3 linked regions of the Mus musculus genome follow. Each later gene encodes a partner of the first gene's protein in a complex. Links are inferred from orthologs where the notes say so. Each region holds a gene or a part of one and is shown in the gene's direction. Other genes may lie near its edges.

Region 1 (7,399 bases):
ACAGACTTCTTGGTGTTTACAGAGGATTGGTTCCATAACCACACAAGTGAATATAACCTACACACACAATCCCATACACTTTAAATAACTTCTAAATTACTTAGTGTAGCTAGGCAAGTACCCTCCACTGAGCTGAACATTATATCTAGTGTGAGTGCTACAGAAATAGTTGATATGATGTATTATTTACAAAATAATGATAAGGAAAGTCTCCACTTCTTTGGTACAGTGGAATTTCGGTCTTGTTTTTACAACACCTCTTTAAAAATCTGGGCTTGTTTAAACCTGAGCATGCAGAACCCATTAGCTGTGGAGAGATGACTACAAATTTAAATGCATATTTCTTTTTAAAAAAAAAAATTACTTATTTATTTTATATATGTGAGTTCACTATAGCTGTCTTCAGACACACCAGAAGAGGGCATCAGATCCCATTTCAGATGGTTGTGAGCCACCGAGTGGTTGCTGGGCATTGAACTCAGGATCTCTGGTAGAGCAGTCAGTGCTCTTAACCGCTGGACCATCTTTCCAGCCCCCATATTTCTATATTAATTTTTAAAGTTACTTAATAAAATGTGGTTCTGCTGGGCAGTGGTGGCGCACACCTTTAATCCCAGTACTTGGGAGGCAGAGGCAGCTGGATTTCTGAGTTTGAGGCCAGCCTGGTCTACAGAGTGAGTTCCACAGCCTGGGCTATACAGAGAAACCCTGTCTCGAAAAGACAAAAAAAAAAAAAGTGGTTCTGTTGTTAGAATCTTAAAGCATCCCCACAGATCCTTGGCGATGATTGGATATCACCAAGGCCTTTGCAACTTCTCAAAACTTGCTCTGCAGCATCAATCCAGGAACTGAGATGGGGAAAGAACTGGTTAGTCTTTGATATCTGCTGCTGTTCTGGGTGTATGTACTTAATCAAATTGTTCTTGCTTCTAAATTATTCATGCTTAAAAATGAGCCAGGGGATGCTATCTGTCAGCTGAAAGTTACACAGATTCATCAAATGCAAAAACTGCCAGAGGCTCCGACCTGCTCCTCCCTCGTCTCTCCCACTCAGGCAATTAAGCCATCACTGGTAGGAACCAGAAAATCATCAATCCCTCACTGTTCTTCAACCTTCACATCCAACTAAGGACCAGGATCCCAGGTCCATGGCAGACTCTGCCTCAGCTTGGTAACCAGCCCCACATCTTTGGGGGGAACTAATGGCATTCTTTCAGCGTGAATGTGATGATCCTCAATCTATAGAAAACGCCCAAGTTCACAGTCTGACACACTTAAAGAATCCACACACCCACTATAGAGGCTTTGTGGGTAAAAGCCCTTACTTTTAAAAAAAGAAAAGGTGTGTGTAGGAGTAGATTGCCCCTGGAGCTGGTGTTGAGCCACAAGCACCAAAACTTGGATCCTCAATAAGACAGGTAGATGCTCTTATCCACTGAGTCAGCTCTCTGAATGAATGATCTTGTCCTACAGAACTCCTTGTGGCTCTAAGGTCTGCCTCCACATTTTAGCCACAAAAAGAAGGAGGAGGGGGGCTGGAGAGGTGGCTCAGCGGGTAAGAGCACTGACTGCTCTTCCCGAAGGTCCTGAGTTCAATTCCCAGCAACCACATGGTGGCTCACAACCACCCGTGATGAGGTCTGGCGCCCTCTTCTGGTGCATCTGAAGACAGCTACGGTGTACTTACATATAATAATAAATAAATCTTTAAAAAAAAAAAAGAAGGAGGAGGAGGAGGAGGAGGAGGAAAAGAAGATAACAATGATTTCTTTCAAACACAGATCAGAGCTCAGTATTATTAGGCCGTTGTTCACCGGTGTCCTACTAAGATTTGACTACTAAGATTTGACTAAGGAAGGTCAAATCCCTCCAGCAAGAACCCACCCAGGGCTCTCCAACCACTCTCTCTCAAGCTTGTCTTCAACAATGAGCTACACATCTCTCAGGAACGCAAAGCCACTTTGGTTCTGAGCGGTTCTAAGCTCCTGTATGTTCTTATACTATCTAACTTTCCCTCCCACAGAACTCTCATTTTGTAAGTTCCTTGGCAACTACTTGCCTCGCACAACTTATTTCGGGCCTTTTAAAGAAAGCCTTCCTTGGACTTTCAGGTTGGACTAAAAGACATCAGATCACAGCATTAAAATGTCATCTTCTTCTTTAAACTCCCACTCCCTCAACTAACTAGTGCAAGGCGAGGCTGAATTGGTTCTCAGTAGATAGACAGTATAGCGGAAGAGGACTCGTTACAGGGTTCTGACAATTGCCCTAGGAGGTGATATCCAATAACGTCGCCAAGATGCTCCAGAAACCGCTAGCCCTCACTCTGGCCCATCTGGAGCAGCCGGTCCCTAGGGTCATCGGAGCCTTCCGAGCAGTGAGAACGCCCAGCTGCATTCACGTGAGTCAACCAAGCCAGAGATTCAATAACTTGTCCCACATCACAAAGTTTACTTGGGGACCCCGACAAGATCAGGCTTCCAAAGCTCTGCACACATGCCTCGCACAAGTGAGGATGTAGACAGCTAACTCCAACCCCACCTGGGTGCAGCAACAAGCAGAGGGAGGCCTCAGGGTCTTGCGGAGCCTGGTCCCCGGGGAGGCAGGCGGTAGACCTGTCACGGGAACGCGGGTCCCTCCCTGACCGGGCGCCGAGCTCCTCTTCCTTTCCCCGGTTTGCACTCTGTCGGTGCCTCAGCCTCGGGACGTGGAGGGAATGGGAGGACGGCGGGCTGCGGGGTACTCCCCACACACCCGCACCCTCTGGCCCGGCTGAGGCGAGGCCCGGTTCTCACCTCGCCTCCTCGGCTCGTTCCCCGGTCGCCCCGGTCTCGCGGGGTGTGGGATGGTCCAGCGGCGGCGGCCGGTAGGTTATTCCAGTTCGTATTCCAGCTCCGGCTTTGCCAGTTTTCCTGCCCTGGTCCGCTGGGCCACGCCCCTATCATGCGCAGGCGCAGTCTTTAGGCCGCGCCTCCAGTTCCTTAACCGCACCTCCGGGAACCTAAAGAACCTCGTTCTCGAACCGGAAGTTGGAGGGCCGAATCTAGCTCCGGGAACGCTAGAGCGCCGGAAGTTGTGTGTTGGTGGTGGGGGTTTTTTCTTCTTTGGTTTGCAGTAGCTGTGCTTTGAATTTAGAGACTGCGGCGACGAGTTCGTGGTCCACGCTGCTCCTGAGACTGCCAGGATGTCTGCGATTCCTGCAGAGGAGAGCGACCAGCTGCTGATCCGACCCCTGTAAGGGATGCGCTAGAGAGGGAGCGAGCCCCCCTCCCCGTATGTGTGAGAGCCTGGAGGGACCCCCGCGGAGGCAGCTGCGGGTCCAGCCTCTCAGGTTCAAGGGATTTGGAGAACATTGATCGATGGGCTATCTAGGTTGAATGTCATTTTTCCTTCAGTCTCGGGGAGGGTATTTTGGGGAAAAAAAATCCAGGTCATTGGGTGTTTTCATAAAGAAAGGGTTGCCAATTAACACAAGTCTGGATCTCGTACATCAGAGCAAGCCTTGAGGGAACCGACAGATAGAGGACACTGCAAGGAAGAACTGCATCTGCCTCCTTTCCAGGACCCTACACGTGCTCAGATGGGCGGGGAAATTAAAGACGTGGTGTATGTACTTTGAGAGCTCAGACCTTAGCAGAAGGTAGGAGGAAATTGGAGAGGGGAAAGCTGAGGCGTTTCCGCGAGAAATTAAGAGCTAAATCACCATAAAAGATTGGTTTTAGTGGAAATGGCGTTCTGGAATATTTTGTAGAGAATTGCCTCACACATTTAAAGGTGCAGAACGTACTGGATGAGCGGTGAGACTCATCCAATACACGTGGTTGTTGTTCAGCATGAGACACTATTTGGCACCACATGAATGTGTACATTTTCAAAGGCCGGAAACTATCTCCTTTACCCACTCATAAAGTAAGATTTACTGAGCACTTACCAATGAATGTACCCAAGTGATGCTGTCATCTCCCTATATACACTAAGCAAATATCAAACAAAATCACCAGGCATGGGCTGAGTTCATTGATTTCACGCCTTTGGTGAAATTGTAAAGTGGGGAGTGCTGGAATGAGTTTGTGAAAATAGACAGCTACGTTGGTGTCAGACCTGAAACCCAGTCTTCCTGTTTAATACGGAAGTAGCCTCAATGAACCCACTTCCTCATGTGGAAAAAAGCACTCACTGTGAGGAGTGCTTGCTCTTGGGCAGTGCAGTGATACCAGTGACCGTGCTCAGTGCTCATTTTGACATCTGTTTCAGGAGTATAGGTCAGCACTGTGCTGAGTCTCAAAACAGTTGGAAACTCTTCTGACAGATCTCACGCATTCTGGAAATGTGATTGACATTCGAGCTAAGGCTTAAAGAGTTGGAAAAAATTAAAGACAGTATTGGAACCATAATGTTCCAGGCGCACACAAAAGGTTCTGATTTATGGCCAGTTTTACTTTGGTTGCAGGTAACAGATTAGCAGACGGATTGGGGCAGGCTATCTCTACCTTATGAAGGACCTTGTATACATACTAAAGAGCTTGACTGTTTATCACACCAGTTATAGTAAGCCGACAAAAGATTTAAAGCAACTGTGTAATACAGTGGGAATTAGATTAAAGTTGTGGCTACTTTCCCTTTTGAAAGCATTCATTCAGTGGCCTTTTGCTCGTGAGCCACTGAGCTGTCCTGAAGGGGCAGAGTGAAAACATCACTTTTGGGGGAAGTGGTGACATGTTGTTTGCTTCAATCAGTGTTGTGACAAGAAAAACAAAGAACAACTCCAGTGTGGTAGACGAATATGGACGAAGTGAGGAGAATCTGGTAGGATGTAATCACAGTCCAGTCCTGAGTGATGAGAGCTGGTAGCCAGTGAAAGGGGTGGGGGGGAGTAGAAAGGAGTGGATTTGAGGAGTTCAGGAGTAAAGTCTTGACAAGTGGTCAGATGTCATCTGAAGGGACGGTGGCAGGACACAGGCAGAGAGTACACGTCAGGTCTCTTGGTTCTGTACAGGAGGTGCAGCAAGGGAGAAAGTTTGATCTTGTTGTTTGGTGGGAGTTGTAAATATGTAACTTACCATACCTTATAAAGCTGTGCACTTCGATATGCGCTTGTTTGCTTTGGAGTATGTATGTGTCTGTAGGTTTTCTGTTAACATAGAATCTCGCTAGGTAGCACACACTGGCCTGGAACAAACCCATGACAATTCTCTTGCCTCAGTCTCCCAGTGTTAGGATTACAGGAGTGTGTTATCCTGATGAGCTCCAATGGTTTTTAGTGTGTTTGGGGAATTATATAGCCTTTGCTATGACTGTAGTGCCCAATCCCATAGCCGACACCTGCATTACCCTTTCTAAAGAGCACATTAGGCTCCACGCTCAGGTCTCGCCACCCTCCCAAACCTTCAGCAACCACCTGTCTATTTTTCCTTCTCTGTGGAGTTGGCAGTTGAGAAGGTGTCTGAGAAGATGAAACCTGACTGAGACCCAAATGTTCTAAAGGAGCCTGATGTGTAGGGAGCTGAGAACCGAACACTCCAGGAAGAAAGAGCCAGTCCAGGGGCCTGTGAAAACTAGCTTGGCCTACTAAACATGAAGTGCCTGGCAGCAACCCAGCAAAGAGGCTGAAATGGCAGGTACATGTACCAGAGGGCTAGAATTCAGAGCAGTCTGAGCTGCAGACACAGACTCCGAGTTCAACAGCATGTCGGATGCATGAATGGAAAGACCATGAAGTTGGGAAGAGGGCCAGGAGAGACTCTGAGATATTAGCATTCAGAGGTTAGAGAGCCAAGGCAGATAAGTGAAGAAGGGGAAAAAAAAAAAAAAAAACCTGGGAAAGCCAGCAAGACAGACCAGAGTGTGGAGTCAGAGAAGCCAGGAAGTGCTTGAGGGAACACTTAAGCAAGGAAGGTAATGGCTGCCAAGGGGACTGGTTGGGTTAAGGACCAAGTAGAGCTGTTTGCACTTAGCAGCAAGAACAATCTCAGAAAAGTAGCTGGAAAAGGCTGGTAAATAAGAGTGGGGGTTTTTAGGAGGGGTATGTAGACAGGCAGCTCTGTGGGGAAGCTGACTTAAGAACAAAATGAGAATCATGGAGATAAAAATCAAGGAATTTTAATTGAAGACAAAAAAAATGACCATGGAATTTATTCATTTATTTCTTTGAGACAGAGTCTCACTATGTTCCTTGGCTGTCGTGGAGTTCTCTGTAGGTCAGGCTGGCCCCAGATCTACAGCGCTCCACCCACCAGACAGCTTTATTCTCTATCTACCCCCCAAGTGCTAGAATTGCATCCCTATTGTTTCTTACTCTCTGAGTCTGTGGCTAGCCCAGTGGTAAGGGTCTATCTCATCCCTGTTTGCTCCTAGATCACAAGGTCTTTGAGGTCTGATCACTCTGATACACCCGTCCTAGGCAGTTAGTATCACACTTTAGAATTCATTTTGAGCGAGATTTGGGAGGAAATATCCAACAAGCTGTTATTTTTAGCTTAAGGTGTGCCCAAAGGGAAAAGGCTGAAACCATGGCAACCAGGCTAGGTGGTGATAAGCTGATCTCAAGGTAACACTGAAGTGATGGCTTTGTTCTAGAAGGATTACTCAACTGCTTGTTTACATCTTAAAGTCCCACAGTGCCCACCCTCTCTGCCCGCCACACCGAGGATTGCTTTTCACCTTTTCCTACACCGGCACTCACCCTCTGTTTGAACTCTAGAACTGTCCTTCCTCGGGAATTAAGTGACTACTGTCATAACTCGGGCAGTTAAAGTTGTGAAAGAGTTTGAATTTAGTATGTTGAGTGTTACTGTGGTGGGGTGATACAGGTCGTACTGAACACTGACATCGTTGCCGTGGCCCCCAGTGCTGCCGTTGTCCGTGTGTGCCTCCAAACCGAGCTCTGGCTGCTTGATTGCTTTTTAATCACCTTATTTCTCCCCTTGACTGTTTGCAGTGGTGCTGGGCAAGAAGTGGGAAGATCATGTATTATTCTGGAGTTCAAAGGAAGGAAAATCATGGTAATTATTATTGTTGCTGTTATTACTATTTGGTACTGGAAATTGGATTTTGGGCCATGTGTGGGCCAGGCATGTGTCCTACTGCTGAATCACACTCTTAGCCTAGATAGCAATTATTTATGCTGCCAAGAAAACAGTGTAGCTCTGTCTGTACTGGCTGTTAGATCTGTACTACTGAGCTAGTTATCTCTGTAGCCCTATCTGAGAGAGTATGTGTATATGGAGCTAACACTCTGTGCTGAGAGAAAGCCTAACACACTTTGCTTAGTAATTAAAAACATTAAGTAACCTAAAAAGATATATTGTAACACTGTAAAACTGCCAGCTACATCTGCCAGACTGTTGTCTCTTCAAAGTCCTTGTGATTCCCTTGTCTACACAACCTGAGGACCCCACCC
Region 2 (7,615 bases), on another chromosome or scaffold:
AAATAAGAATAAAAATATTTTTAAAAATACCAGGTCTCTCTGTCCTTTATTTATGAGCTAGGTGGGATAGAGTGGGGCAGAAACTCACTTCATCCTAGCACTCAGAAGGCAGAGACAGGTGGGTCTTTGAGTTTGAGGCCAACCTAGTCTACAAGGTGAATTCCAGGACAGCCAGGGCTACCCAGAGATACCTTATCCAAGAAAAAAGACAAAAATAAAGTTTAAAAAGTATTTTAAAAATAACAAATAAACCGGGTATAGTAGTTTATGCCTTTAATCCCAGCAGAGGCAGGTAGATCTCTGAATTCAAAGCCAGCTTGGCCTATATAATGAGTTCTAGGACAGCCAAGAATGCAGAGACAGAGATCCTACACCAAAAAAATAATAAAAACCAAACAAATAAAATAAGCTAGATCCACTACTATGTGTCTGTAATCCCAGTACTTGTGAGTCAGTGGCCTCTCTGTGAGTTCCAGGCCAGCCTGGGCTACATAGTGAATTCCAGTTTAGCCAGGGCTACACAGTTAAGATTGTGAAAAAGGTATAAAACAATAAAATAAGCGGGGTACTGGTAATCCCAGCACTCAAGAAGGGGAGACAGGAAGGGTGAATGTTTTAGGCTGTCCTGAGCTACAAAGTGAGTGCCAATCAGCCAGGGCTACCCAGCAAGACAGCCTTGAAAGAATGAAAATTAGTTAGAGCTGGCAACAGTTTAGAGGTCAAACTGTTAAGAGAAGAATAAGTCATGAGCCCAGGAAATGTGATACGGACAAGAAGACTAACGGGATTACCTCCATGTACTGAGTTAAAGATAGGTAAGGGGCTAGCAATATGGTTCAGCAGAGAGAGGCGCCTGCAGCGCAAGTGACCAGAGTTCGATCCCTGGGCTGTGCATGAAGGTGGAAAGGAAAAGCCAGCTCTATACGTCGTCCTCTGGGCTCCACATGTGCACCGTGGCACACACACTCACACTTGCACCCAGACAGCAATAACAGAGATCCAAGGACTGAGTAATGAACACCCCAGCTTCAACAGCTGAGAAGGCTGCACTGCCCCACATAAAATGCCAACCCAGCAGAAGGAAAACCCCAAGGTTCTCATGTAAAATGCCTACCTGTTTACCAGTTCTCTTAACTCCCTGCCTGCCCTCCGCTCAGTTTCCAGCCCAGCCTCTTCCTCCCTCAGTTCCCCAACAGTCTGCTTAAACATTCCCTTCCCAGTAGTTTCCCCAATGCTAGCAGCTCCAAGCCATAGCAACTGTGCTAGCCTATCTGCTCAGCTCAGCTCAGCTCAGCTCAGCTCAGCTCAGCTCAGCTCAGCTCAGCTCAGCTCAGCTCCTCCTGGCTCCACTGTCTGACAGTGTCTTCACTAACTGCCTTCTCACTCTGCTAGTCCCCACCCCCGGCTTTATATACATTTCCTATCCCGTTCCCAGAAATCCAAGGGGCATCCAACACTGAAGGTCATAGGGTTCTCCCAGCTAAGAATTCTTAAAGGGCCAGGGACACAAGATGAAATCACAGCACACTCTCAGACCTTTCCTTCCTTGATCAGACGTTTGCACTGAAAGAAGTACCAGTACTGAGTGTTCCTCCGGCCCCGCCACGGTCTGGGCTCCAGTTCTTCCTCCTCACCACCCTGTTCCTTGAGCTGCAGGTTGTAGAGCTGGGCCGTTGACTTGTGGAATATCCTCCGGGAGGAGAATTTGCCAGAGAGGCTCCCGAAGCTCTCTTCCTCTGCCTCCTCCTGGGGAGCCACAGTGCTGAGCTTACTGGAGTCAGAGCAGAGGCTGCTCATTTCCTTCTGGTTCCCGCTGCCCAGGGGCAGCGGGGAGGAGGAGCCGCAGAAGGCAGCTCTCAGCCGTGCAGGTCCCTCCCTGCCTCCTGTCCATCGGGTTGATCCAACAAGATCCAGGTGTTGAAGGACAGACAGTCCTATGGGGCGGGGACCGGAAAAGAGCCGGGAGAGTCTTAGGAGGTCCATCGCTGGCTGCCTCGAGCCCCTGCAGCCTGAAATCAAGAAAAATAAGGAAACCGCATCAGACGCCATATAAAAAGTCAGAAAGGAAGGGCTGGCGAGATGGCTCAGCGTGCTCTCCGAAGGTCCTGAGTTCAAATCCCAGCAACCACATGGTGGCTCACCCATAATGAGATCTGACCCCCTCTTCTGGTACATCTAAAGTCAGCGACAGTGTACTTACATATAATAATAAATAAATCTTTGGGCTGGAGTGAGGGGGCCTACTGGTGCAAGCAGGGCCTACCAGAGCGAGCAGAGGTCCTAAAAAATTTCAATTCCCAACAACCACATGAAGGCTCACAGCCATCTGTACAACTATAGTGTACTCACATACATTAAATAAATAAATAAATAAACAAACAAATCTTTTTTAAAAAGAGTCAGAAAAGAGAGACAAGTTTACTCAGAGGGTAGGCTCTGAGTTAGGAAGACCTGGCTCTGTGCAGGGTGGGGAGTGGGAGATCAGTCAAACTTACTATCTCAGCTGGGTAGAAAAGAGTCAGAAATTCAGGGTCACCCTCAGCTATAATGTCAACTTCAAGACCAGCCTGGGCTTCATGAGATTGTCTTTAAAAAGTAAGAGTAAGTCGTGATGGGCCATGCCTTTAGGCCCTGCACCAGGGAGACAGAGGCAGGAGAATTTCTATGAGTTCAATGCCAGTCTGGTCTACAACTGTGAGTCCACGCTACTCAGGGCTACCTAGAGATCCCCAGTCTCGACAACAACAACAAGAGGCTCAAGAGGGTCTCAGCAGATAAAGGTGCTTACTGCAGAGCTCGGTGACCTGAGCTTGATTCCTGAACATACTTGGAAGGACTTGTGGTACAAGCTTTTCCCTAATCTGCACTCGAGTGGTGTGGAAGGCACATATATGCACATGCTCCCTCTCACAGAGCTACACCCTCTCACCCTCGCATTCTATTTTTATTAGGCTGTGCTGGGCCTGCTTACTTTGAAGCCCTTTAATAAAAAAACAAAACAAACAAACAACAACAAAAACAAGACATAATAACAGGGAAAAGAGGTATGACGGTATTTTGAGGCTTAGCTCTACTAGGTTGACTCGCTCTCCAGGGTCTCATGTAATGCAGTCTGGTCTTGAGCTTCTGACCCTTCTGCCTCCACTTGCCAGTTAGTGGGATTACAAGTCTGTACTAACACTACCGGCTTATGCGGTGGTGGGGCAAGCACTTTACCAACTGAGCCACACCTCCTGCCCCCTTACCCGACTTTTAAACGTCTGCATTAGAGCTACACCCACAGAGAGACCTGGGACCCTAGGTCGCCCCTTGCTTCCTCTCCCCAGGCCTTTAGATCCTCCGTTTTCGCATCTGAGCTTGGACAAAGTCCCTCAGGTCCAATTTCCACCCGGCTTCCGGGTTTCCTATGAGGGTTGAACAGAAACTCACTCTGAGCGTTCTAAGCGGCGAGCCCCTAGTGAGACGTCCTCAGAGTCGAGGGACCGCGGCTCCAGAGACAGCGTTCCTGCCCTCAGCACAGACTACGGAGATCCCGCGCAGGCGCACTTGCGTCGCCGCCTCTTGTGTAAGATACAGAACCGAAAGAAACAGGCGATCGGTCGGCGGCTAGTCAGGCCTGAAGGAGTGGCCGGACTCTGAGCTCCGTTGGCTGAGTCTGGATGGGAAAAAAGGGCCGGCGCGGGCTCCAGCGCTCCCGGCATCCCTCGCGGGGCGGCGGCTGCGGCGGCGGCGGTGGCGGCAAGCGAGAAGGGGACGGGGAGAGGTAGCGTGAGTTGCGGAGAGCGGCTGAGAGACCTGAGGGGGAGCTGGGCCCGAGGCCGCCGCCGCCGCCATGCAGGAAATAATCGCCAGCGTAGATCACATCAAGTTCGACTTGGAGATCGCCGTGGAGCAGCAGCTCGGGGCGCAGCCGCTGCCCTTCCCCGGCATGGATAGTGAGTGCGGGGCCCGGCGGGTGGGTGGGCGAGTCTGATTCTGACCAGAGGTTACCCCAGCCCTGGGCCCTGGAACCCGGGACCCTCGCCTAGTTCCTCCGCTTCCGTCCTGGGACTTCCCGGTGTCACTTGAACTCGGGGAGACCTTTCCTTGGATCCTTGATCCCCGGGGACTGCTCCGTGGCAATCCTCGGGACAGCAGGACTGTGTCGGTTGTTCGCGTAATTCTCCAGTGAACGCGTGTCATCCTGAAGTGGAACTGCCTTCTCCCATCCTGCTCCAACTTCAGCAAAGTCTTAGAATGTCCCCCATTTCCACCTCTTAGCGTGCTCCTCTCTACTTTCATCAGAACTAGGCGGTAGAAGAGTCTGAGTGTATCTGACTGTCGAAGACTCCAAGTAGACCCTCATATTCCAGGCTTGCTTTAGTCTAGCTCCTGGGAAATCCTTCCCTGTCCTGGAATTGTCCGTTTTCCTCACTACCCCACCTCCGGGTCACCTGTCCCAACTCAGGCCCCCAGCGAACCTTTAGACCGAGCTATATTTACTGTCCCTCTTCATGTGATGAGATGGTTTTCCTGTTCTGGTGGGATATATCTTCCGTTTGGGGGAGCTGCTTCAATTCAGACAGAACTGTCCTCTTTGGCCAGGTCGTCCTTGCACATATGTCTACTCTTTGTTGTTGTTGTTTTTCGAGACAGAGTTTCTCTGTATAGCCCTGGCTGTCCTGAAACTCACTCTATAGATCAGGCTAGCCTTTTAAGCACTAGGTTTTTACTCAATTTGATGGCACTGCCTTGAGACCATGGAACATTTGTGTGGGGCAATAGATCCACAAACCTGTGGAGGCAAGTGTGCACTTGAAGTAAAGATTTGGGTTTCTTTAAAAAACACAGAAATAGCCGGGCAGTGGTGGCGCACGCCTTTAATCATGGCTCTTAGGAGGCAGAGGCAGGTGGATTTCTGAGTTCAAGGCCAGCCTGGTCTACAGAGTGAGTTCCAGGACAGCCAGGACTACACAGAGAAACCCTGTCTTGAAGGGAAAAAAACAAAAACAAACAAACAAAATCCAGAACCCAGAAAACTACAGAAATAGGAATATATTTTTATTTTAATCCCAGATATGGGATCTGGGGCTGCTTCAGATTTTCCATAGCAGCTGACTATGATTTGCCTCATTCCTTAGCAGGAGTGTGATACTGCCAATGGCAGATAGTTTTTGCCATTGTGTGGCATTTGGAATTCGGAGGACTCTTAAGAGGGTATATAAATGCTAGGGCCCCAAGAATGTGGGTTGTTGGTTGGTTGAGAGTTGTTAAGTAGTTGTGCACAAAAAAGGAACAACAAGAAATTAGATACCCTGACAGCAAAGACCAAACTTGCTCCCTAATCATCCGGGAGCAGTCTAACAATGACATCACCCCCTCTCTCCCTTCCATCCTTTTTTTCTCACCTATCTAGTGTTAGGGGACTAGAAGGGTGGAAGATAAAAGAACCCACAAAGTAGCCAAAGTCTCCCTAGGAGAGCCAGGGATGTGCATAGCATGGGTACCTCCGAAGCTCAGGTCCAGATTTGGTAGGTGCCTTGCTGGGCCTTGACATACCCAACACAACCACAAACAAGAAGTGCGTGCTGAGGCACCTTCCATTGCAGCCACTCAGTGATGGCTCTTGCCTTTAATCCCAGCACTCAGGATGGAGGGACAGGCAGATCTCTGAAACTGAGGCCAAGCTGGTCTACAAAGCAAGTTCTAGAATAGCCAGGGCTGTTACACAGAGAAACCCTGCCTCTGGGGAAAAAGAAAAAAAAAGAAGACAGAAGGAAATGGTGTTTCTGGTTTTTGTTTTATTTTGGTTTGTTGTTTTGGTTTGGTTGTTTTCTTTTATTTCTTCTTTTTTTTTTTTTTTTTTTTTGAGACAGGGTTTCTCTGTGTAGGCCTGGCTGTCCTGGAACTCACTCTGTAGACCAGGCTGGCCTCGAACTCAGAAATCCGCCTGCCTCTGTCTCCCAAGTGCCGGAATTAAAGGCGTGTACCACCACTGCCTGGCTGGTTTTTGTTTTTTAAGTTTACTGTTTTCTGAAAATCCACGCTGATACATCAGTGAAAACTATTTATGAATCCAAGACTTGTTCTGGTGAGTTTCTGGACTTGCTGACTGCTGCCACATGCTGGCTCTGTAGATGTGCTGCCCTCCCAGAGTTGGCTGTGTTTGTGAGGATGAATGGCCTTGCACCTATGTAATTCTATGTAGGTGTCACATATTAAGGGCTGGCCTGCTTGATCTTCCATTATATTCTTCCACTAGGCTAATGTCTAAAGAGGCCCCTGCCTGCTCTGTCATCTTCCCTGCTCAGAGGCTCAGCTAGTGATTTAGTTATTTCCTGTGAGACCATTCATTCCTTCTCTCTGTCTCATACTAATATACTTGTAAATTAACCCCCATGGGAGGGCTGAGCTGGGGGTAATTATTCTCTGATCTTGTGTTCCTTCTTACCTTCTCCACCCATTCTTTTTTTTTTTTTTTTTTTTTTTTTTGTTTTTGTTTTTTTTTTTTTTGTTTTTCAAGACAGGGTTTCTCTGTATAGCCTTGGCTGTCCTGGAACTCACTTTGTAGACCAGGCTGGCCTCGAACTCAGAAATCTGCCTGCCTCTGCCTCCCGAGTCTGAGTCCTGGGATTAAAGGCGTGCACCACCACTGCCCAGCCTCTCCACCCATTCTTAAATGTCTTGAAAGCTCTTGGCTTCCAGGAGGTTTTGAGATGTTTAGTCCCACAGTGAAGTCACATTTCACGAGTCTGACTGAAACAAGTGGCTTTTGCTTTGAGACAAGGTCTCACTGTGTTGCCCTAACTGGCCTGGAGCTAAATGTGTAGCCCTGGCTAGGCTAGAACTCAGAGCTCTGCCTGTGTCTGCCTCTGAGTACTGGGATATCCCACCATGGCAGGCATGGGCTTTGTGGTTTTTGCCAGCTCACTACATCCTGCACTAAAGGTCCTAAGAGTCCCCTCCATTGGTACCTAGCTTTAGTTGATGACTGGTTCTTTCCTTTTACAGAGTCGGGGGCTGCTGTCTGTGAATTCTTTTTGAAAGCCGCCTGTGGCAAAGGTAAGAGACCCTTGACTTCCTCACACCCTTCCTGAAGTACCCTGTGTTGTTTGTATTTTGAGGTTAATTTTGTTTCTTTAAGAACGGTTGTTTTTGATGAGCAGTCTATCATGTATTTAGGTGATTTTATGTGAGGTTTTTTTTTCTTTATTCGGTCAATAAAGGTTAGAGCCTGTGGTTGGGCAGTGGAGGTTCGGAAAGGTGGGACTGGAGGTTTCAGAGTGGGAGCAGGTAGAAAGGAGAAGAGGACGAGAAGGGAAGGAGAGAGGACTGAAGAAGAGGAGGAGGAAGCCATGATGGAGCAGAGCCATGTAGCCAAGAGAAACCACAAGTAACAAGGGTCTTATAGCTGGTGAGTAAGTTAGTATGGTATTAGATCTGCCCAATGTACGCTTATAGCTTATAATTATAGTAACTAGATTGTGTGTTTTTTACATGGGCTTATTGGAGTTGGAAATTCCAGCTACACCCTGGCCCTACTTGGCCCTCTAGCAGATTTCCAGGCCACTGGGTATCTGCCTGTATTACATTCAGTTGTATTATATTGAGATGAGTGTTCCTAAGTGAAGCCATG
Region 3 (7,256 bases), about 81 Mb from region 1:
TCGAGGCCAGCCTGGTCTACAGAGTGAGTTCCAGGACAGCCAGGGCTACACAGAGAAACCCTGTCTTGAAAAAAAACAAAAAACAAAAAAGAAAATGCATGCCCAAACACACAAATGTTTAAAAAAAAAAAAAAAAAGTCCTTAGCTTCCTTGTTTATACAGCTGTTAAGACAGCATTTTTGCACTAACAAGTACTTGAGGATTCCCAGCTCATAGCAGTTTAAAATAAGCTCACAGCTACCTGTAGGCTATGAGTCATTACTATTGGCATAGATGGGTTTGGTCTGGTTTTACTTAGAAAAGAAGAAAAGAGGGAAGCCTTATGGGCCTCTTGCCACACATGGACTTCTACAGACTGGAGGTATAATGACAATGGTACTAAGAAACAGATGCTTCACAGAATTCACAGCCATCATGAAGGAGTATCATCCATAGGAGAAACCCTTAGTCCCAGAGAGGCACCTCATATTTCAGTAGCTCCTCAACTGGCTTGGGAAGCAATGCAGTGAACATCATCTACAGAGATGTCTTTCTGCAAGGACATGAGCAGGGAGGGCAAAAGTGGACATCTGTGAGTCAGAATGATTCACCAGAAAATGGGTAAGAGGGGAACTAGAGCGAGGGTCTTGGTCATGGACCTAAATCCATAGAGCTTCATCTAGTGAGGACCAGGACAAGCTGCACTTCAGGTTTGGTGTGGGTGAGCTAAGAATGTTACCAATAGGACAGGGCCAACTAACTGCTTAAGGACTATACTCCTGGCGGGTGCTTATGAGAGCACATATTAATAGTCTCTTTTATTAACGTTTTGTACGTGTGTGTGTGTGTGTGTGTGTGTGTGTGTGTGTGTGTGCACGCGCGCGTGCCTGTGCATATGCGTACAGGAACCCAAGATGGCCAAAGGTATCACAGCCCTTTGGAACTGGAGTTGTGAGCCACCCAACATGTGAGCTGTGAGTGGAGAGCTGGGAACCAAACTCAGATCCTCTGGAAAGGCAGCAAGCACTGTGAACCCCTGAGCCCAGCCATCTCTCTAGCTCTAGGTGCCTTTCTGCATGTGGGGCCATAAGAAGAATTTTGTTTTTATTTCAGAAATAAAATATAGCATTATTGCTTTGCTTTTCAAGAGTGTTTCTTTGTAGCCCTGGCTGTCCTGGATCTCACAGGAATCTGCTTGCTTCTGCCTCCCCTGTGCACCACTGCCTGGTACTGTGGTATTTTTAAAAAAAGAATTGGGAGGCTGGGCAGTGGTGGTGCACTAAGAAGGCAGAAGCAGGAGGATCTCTGAGTTCAAGGCCAGCCTGGGCTACACAGAGAAACTGTGTCAAGAAAAAGAGGGGGGGGGAGGCAGACAGAAGGGGGTGAGAGAAGGAGGGAAGCAGCCTTGGCTTTGAAAAGCACACACCGTATCAGAGCCACACACTCTGTCTTGTCATTTATTTTTATTTTATTTTATTTTTTTAATTTTATTTTTTGGTTTTTCGAGACAGGATTTCTCTGTATAGCCCTGGCTGTCCTGGAACTCACTTTGTAGACCAGGCTGGCCTCGAACTCAGAAATCCGCCTGCCTCTGCCTCCCGAGTGCTGGGATTAAAGGCGTGTGCCACCATGCCCGGCTTGGTCATTTATTTTTTTAATATTAAAGTGATCCAATTTTTTTTTTTTTTTTGGGCAAGCTTTTAACAAGAACTGAATCTTTTGTTTGTTTGTTTTGTATTTGTTTTTTGAGACAGTCTTACTGTGAAGCTCTGGCTTACTATCCCTCTGCCTCATCCTCAAAAGTAGTTGGAGTTACAGATGTAGGCCACATGGACGAGGCGTTTCTGCGTCATAGCTAATTCATATACTCCTCACCACAGACTGCAGATTTAAGTAACCATGTCTCAAGATTGGGGCTTTTTTTTTTTTTCAGATGAAGAAATCCAAATTTAGTTGTGGCAAAGTAACTTGCTTTAAGTATAGGGTAAAGAGTCAGGATTAGCATAGTCCCCAGACAATCTGTATCCTGATCAGGCTTAAGCTCTTTTGTTCTACTCTCTCTCCTGTGTACGGAGGTAAACAGTTAAATAACTCCTCCTCTCTTTTCTTCTTTGCAGAGCCTCTCTCTCTCTCTCTCTCTCTCTCTCTCTCTCTCTCTCTCTCTCTCTCCATGTGTGTGTGTGTGAGACTTTTTAAAAACAAAAAACAACTAACCCCACATCCCACATATTTCTTAATATTTTTCTCTAACACAAGGTATTTCCCTTAAATACCACCTGCCTCTGCTTTCCAAGTGCTGGGATTAAAGTTTCTTTCCCTTTTCAAGAATAACAGACACTGCTGTGAGTCTTATTTTGCTGAGTCTTCTATCTGGATTCATGCTGGAAACATGTAGACTTTTTTTGTTGTTTTGTTTTTCAAGACAGGGGTTCTCTTTAAAGCCCTGGCTGCCCTGGAACTCACTCTGTAGACCAGCCTGGCCTTGAACTCAGAAATCCACCTGCCTCTGCTTTCCAAGTGCTGGGATTAAAGGCATGCGCCACCACCACTGCAGGCACATGTAGACTTTTTAAGAGATAATACCTTGTGTTGGACTGGACCCCACAGTTCTTTATAATTATTACAAAGTGTCACCTAAGATATGGAATGGATGGAGCAAAACCGAAACCGTTGAGATCATAACACGGACTGGAAACCAAGCAGAAAGCCTTGTTTTTAAAAGGCAAATGGCTACGTGCGGGTTTCACAATCAGGAGAGTTGGACGAGGAGACAGACGCCTGGGCGACCGCGCCCCGCTTCTGGATAGGAGCTGCATTCCCTATTGTGGGCTCAAGAGTCGGATCCTTGAGAACCCTTCCGAGTCCCCCGAGAGCCAGGCCATCAGATCGTCCCCAGAGCAGTCTTTGTAAAAGGCGTGGGGCGGGCAGCGCGCAGGGGTCACCGAAGGCGACCCTGTTTCCCCTCCATGCGAGCGTTCCCCAGAACCCTCCCGCCCGCATCACCACCACGGGTGGCGCCGGGGTCCCCAGACCCACCTTCAGCCTGGTGACAAGGCGACCAAGGACAGCCGCAGGGAGCTAGGCCACTGGCGCCGGCGGAAGCCGTGACCTAAGGAGCTGCCACTCGCCGCGCCAGCCCTGATGAGAGGGGGTGGCGTCGGCAAACCGGCGCTTCTCTCTCCCTTCTCACGCGCGAATCCCGTACATCTTAAGCTGTGAATGATCGCGACACGTTTTGAATAAGACGTGGATCCAGGCTGACAAGGTTTGCGAGCTTTTGCGCTGTCCTCTTCCCTGACCCGGTTCGTCACCACCCCTACAGATGGTGTCGCCCGGGTCGTCCCCGCCTCAGCCGCTCTGCTCAGGCCCAAGATGGCGGCCACCACACAGGGGCTCCTGCCGGCTGCTCTCCGCCGCTGAGCGCGCGCTAGCTCTGCTCGCTCTCCGACCTGCGTTCCACTAGGGGTTGGGAAGGGCGGCGGACGGTGCCGGGGGGAGATTGGCCTGGCAGGTGAGGACGGGAGACGGAAAGGAGCCTTCGGGTTGGGAGGAGGCCCTCAAGGGGATGGGTTCCCGCGTCGGCCCGGTGTCGCCCGGACGCGCTCCCGCGGTTTCGGTTGTGACAGTCTCCGTGGTTCCTGGAACAAGCGTTCCGCAAGGGGGAAGAGAAGTGACTTTTCCCCGGGCTGAAACCTCGGGGTGTTGGGGCGCGCCTATGCTTCCTCCTTGCCCTCCCTCCTGTCTAGTTCCTCTGAGCTTTCATCAGCTGGAGCTAAAAGTTAATCCGCGTCCAGCCTGGGCTCTTTCCCCTTGTACCGCCGTACTCCCCAAGCCTCCCCATCTCTGCCTTTCCCATCTTGGGCTCAGAGAACACGAGGCCAGCAGGTGCCTTCGTAGCTCCTTAATTCCAAAGACCCTTGAGAGGCTCATGCCACGCCTTGATAGAATTAACTTCTCTCGGCGCTACCACAATCACCACGTTTCCCAAGATCCCATTCCTAGTTTCCTTGCTTACGTACTTTTCAGGAAACCAGAAGTCAGGCCATATCCAGCCCCAGTACTCTGGCCCCTGTGACAAGGAGAACTTAAGCATCATCTATGCCTACTTTTCTACCCTTTAATTTTACGATTCCTTTGCCCCTTTCAAAGCCTTTCTTTACCTGAACGATTAAAGAGAGACTTCTCCCACTGTGAGCCCCAGGACTAGTCCAGATCCGTCTTTGCGTATTTCTCATTAGTTGACCTCAGCGTGAACGATCATTCTTGAGAAAGCAAGTATCTGGTATATATTCGAGATGAAGCAGAGGTAGTCGAAGTCACTGCCCTGGGGGAATTCCCGATATGGTGGGTTCAGTGCGTTCAGCACATTTATTTCTATTGCTTCGAGCACTGTGCTTGGTTTGGGAGATGCAAAGATGATCGCTTTTGGACACAATCATCATCCCTTGGCAAACACTCCTCCTGCCTCCTTTGTGCTAAGTAATGAAGCTTTACCTGGGGACAATGAAAAGCTTGCACCTGAGCCAGATCAAGAGGAATTTGCTAAGCCTGGGAGAACAAAGTTATTCCTGGGTGCAGAAGAGGGATTAAAAACTTGAGAAGGCTGAGCACTGTTGGGGAGATTTTTAACAAATCAAAAACTGGAAGAGTGGTTGGTGCAGACTGAAGGTGCAGATTAGGTCGGCTTGTGAGTGGTCTTGGAGCTTGTCTTGCATTTAGTCAGCAGGAAGCTGGTGCACACTTGGCAGGGAGTGGGCAGGAGGTATTTATGTCTTAGGATGATCTGGCATATAAGGCTATGCAGGACCAACCTGAGATAAGAAAACTAGATGCAGTGTCAGCCATTCAGGTAAGGCAACAAGAACCTTCGCTGAGGCAGGAGAAGAACCACCTGAAGAAATGAAGCAAATGCCACCTACATAGGGTTCCACCTGTGACTGCCAGTTTACTGGTAGTGGGTGAATGGTTTTTAGTCTGCGAAACTTGATGGTTGGTAATACCATTGAAATCGGTCTGAGACATGGACATAAAAAGAGGGTGGTGCCAACTTTGCTCTTACGCAGTGGCAAAACCACAACGTTCCCCAGCCCAAAGCATTATTTGGGAGTCTAGACCTCTGCTATTACAGTGGCCACATGCAGTATTGAGCGCTTGAAATGAGGTTGGCTTGAATGGGAATGAACTGGAAAGTACACGCCGAACACAGTGCAAAAACCCTGGAAACTGACTCATTAAATGACGACCTGCTGAAGTGATGATTTGACACCGTTAAAACACCAGGCCTTACCTCTTTTTGCTGTAAATGTGGCTGGGAAATTTTTAAATTACATCTGTGGCTCACATTAGTCTAGACTAATAATGGAAGAAGGATGAGAAAGGAGGAAACTTTGAGCCAGACCTTGAGAGAATAGTAAACTGGTTTCAGGCAGCTCCTGCTTCCTCCTCACCTCGCTCCCTGTAAAAACATTCAGTTACTTGTTTTTACTTGTTTTTATTTTTCCCTCTTAGGGCAGTAGATACCTTTAAAGGTTGTTTTGTGTGTGTGTGTGTGTGTGTGTGTGTGTGTGTAGGCACACATCTACCACAGCAGACAAATGAAGGCCACAGAGACAGCTTGGTGGAGTGGGCACTCTTCTTCCATCACGTGGGTGCAGAGGATTGAACTCAGGGTTAAGTTAACCACTGAGCATCTTGCCAGCCCTTCCTTCAAAGACTTGAACAAGGGATAGTGTTTGCAGGGATGTTTTAGATTATTCTGGCAGGAGTGTTTCCACTGAGATAAAGAGGGGGAAAGCTGCCGAGAATGAAATGGCGAAACCCAAATGTAAGGTAATGAGGCCTGCCATTCAGGTATCGGCAGTAAGAACAGATGGGAGATAGTATACGTGCAAGGTGTTCTGAGGGAGAAGCAATCAGGAATTGATAGGAGATGGTCCCAGAAAATAAAGGGAAGACTTTCAGCCTTGGTTACTTGACTAATAACCCATTAATTGATAAGGAATTAAAAAAGACATTTGAGACAAAAAAAAATTTTAGTCTTAGCATCAGTGAAGTGGAGAGGTGTTTTGAGTGTAAATGAGCAATTTCCCCTTTTCTATGTTTGTGTTTTTTCTGTTGGTGTTCAGTCATGCACATCTGCCTATTTTCCATCAGCACAGTTGCCTGTATTATGCCTTCTTCCTACTTTTTTTTAAGGCATTTTTTGCCTTCTTCCTACTTAAAAAAATGAATTTTTAAATGCCTCTGCATCGCCTACAGAACTAGGTCCAGGGTATCCAGGGCCCTTCTGCAGGGCCTCTGCTGCTCACTTGGTCAGTCTGTCTGTCTGTCTTTCTATGGAAGCATGCCAGGCTGAATTTTTCACTGATACCTCCTAGCTTTGTGGGTTTCGTCTTAGCTGATGTTATTCCAGTCTTTTGAATGTTTTCTCTCCTTCTGCCCTGACTGTATAAATCTTTAATAAGTAATCTTAGTTCCTTCAATAACAGAAGCACTTGAGAATTTTTAAGATTCACTTACTGAGTAGTGTATATATAAGCAGATTATAACCAATTTGGCCCATAATTACTTATGTTTTATCCCTTTTGTAAATTTAACTCCTTACAATTTATGTATCTCTTTTCTTTTAGATTTTTTTATTTTATGCATATGAGTTTTTGCTTGTATTGTTGTAGTTCGTCAAAAGACCCTCACTCACAAGGACCGCAGAGACCACCATTGCTGTAACCGCATGAGGATTTTTATTATTCCAACATGTTGGGGATTCCCCTCTTAGCACGCAGGCCAGAGGAGAGACCCAGAACAAAAAAAAAAAAAAAAAAAAAAACACACACACACACACTTGTCATAACTTTGTAAGGGCCGGATATAGGCACCAGGGTAGTTTGACTTATTTTAATTGGTGTAGTCAATAACCTTTTTAGACATTGGTTGGTTTGTATACGGTGACTCTCATTTTGTCTGTCCTTGAGGTTTTTAGTGTGAGGCGGGGCAGGGGCATTGTTAATCTTGTTTTGGAAGCTTAGTCATTTTGACGGTTAAAACTATGTTTCTATGTTTGTTTAGTCAGCCAGCTTCTTTATCTGGCTCTGTACTTGGCCTGCTAGGACAGTCTGGAAAGTCCTTTTGAAGGGGGAAGGTACTAGGTGGTCTTGAATTCATTTTTGATATTACAGTATGTATACATGTGTAACACATACATGTTTGGTGCCTTTGGAGTCTAGGGCTTTGGATCCCCAGGAACTGAAGTTATAGATGATTGTGAACCACCATGTAGA

Evidence for each region. The genes of interacting proteins can lie anywhere in the genome.
Region 2: Cpsf3 (region 1) and Cpsf4 share a complex: the UniProt entries of both Homo sapiens proteins name them as parts of the cleavage and polyadenylation specificity factor (CPSF) complex. The link is inferred for Mus musculus from reciprocal best matches to the Homo sapiens genes CPSF3 and CPSF4.
Region 3: Cpsf3 (region 1) and Cpsf2 share a complex: the UniProt entries of both Homo sapiens proteins name them as parts of the cleavage and polyadenylation specificity factor (CPSF) complex. The link is inferred for Mus musculus from reciprocal best matches to the Homo sapiens genes CPSF3 and CPSF2.

The regions. Positions count from the first base shown.
Region 1 is NC_000078.6:21,283,311-21,290,709, forward strand, and holds the start of Cpsf3 (cleavage and polyadenylation specificity factor subunit 3), read left to right. Parts: upstream 1-2,986; 5' UTR 2,987-3,184; coding exon 3,185-3,234; intron 3,235-3,494; exon of another isoform or gene 3,495-3,608; coding exon of another isoform or gene 3,609-3,640; intron 3,641-4,616; exon of another isoform or gene 4,617-4,749; intron 4,750-5,424; exon of another isoform or gene 5,425-5,618; intron 5,619-6,937; coding exon 6,938-7,001; intron 7,002-7,399. UniProt on the Homo sapiens protein: Component of the cleavage and polyadenylation specificity factor (CPSF) complex that plays a key role in pre-mRNA 3'-end formation, recognizing the AAUAAA signal sequence and interacting with poly(A) polymerase and other factors to bring about cleavage and poly(A) addition.
Region 2 is NC_000071.6:145,163,525-145,171,139, forward strand, and holds the start of Cpsf4 (cleavage and polyadenylation specificity factor subunit 4), read left to right. Parts: upstream 1-3,688; 5' UTR 3,689-3,832; coding exon 3,833-3,935; intron 3,936-6,990; coding exon 6,991-7,041; intron 7,042-7,615. Other genes in the region: Ptcd1 (pentatricopeptide repeat-containing protein 1, mitochondrial), read right to left, coding at 1,537-1,983. UniProt on the Homo sapiens protein: Component of the cleavage and polyadenylation specificity factor (CPSF) complex that play a key role in pre-mRNA 3'-end formation, recognizing the AAUAAA signal sequence and interacting with poly(A) polymerase and other factors to bring about cleavage and poly(A) addition.
Region 3 is NC_000078.6:101,972,645-101,979,900, forward strand, and holds the start of Cpsf2 (cleavage and polyadenylation specificity factor subunit 2), read left to right. Parts: upstream 1-3,329; 5' UTR 3,330-3,490; intron 3,491-7,256. UniProt on the Homo sapiens protein: Component of the cleavage and polyadenylation specificity factor (CPSF) complex that play a key role in pre-mRNA 3'-end formation, recognizing the AAUAAA signal sequence and interacting with poly(A) polymerase and other factors to bring about cleavage and poly(A) addition.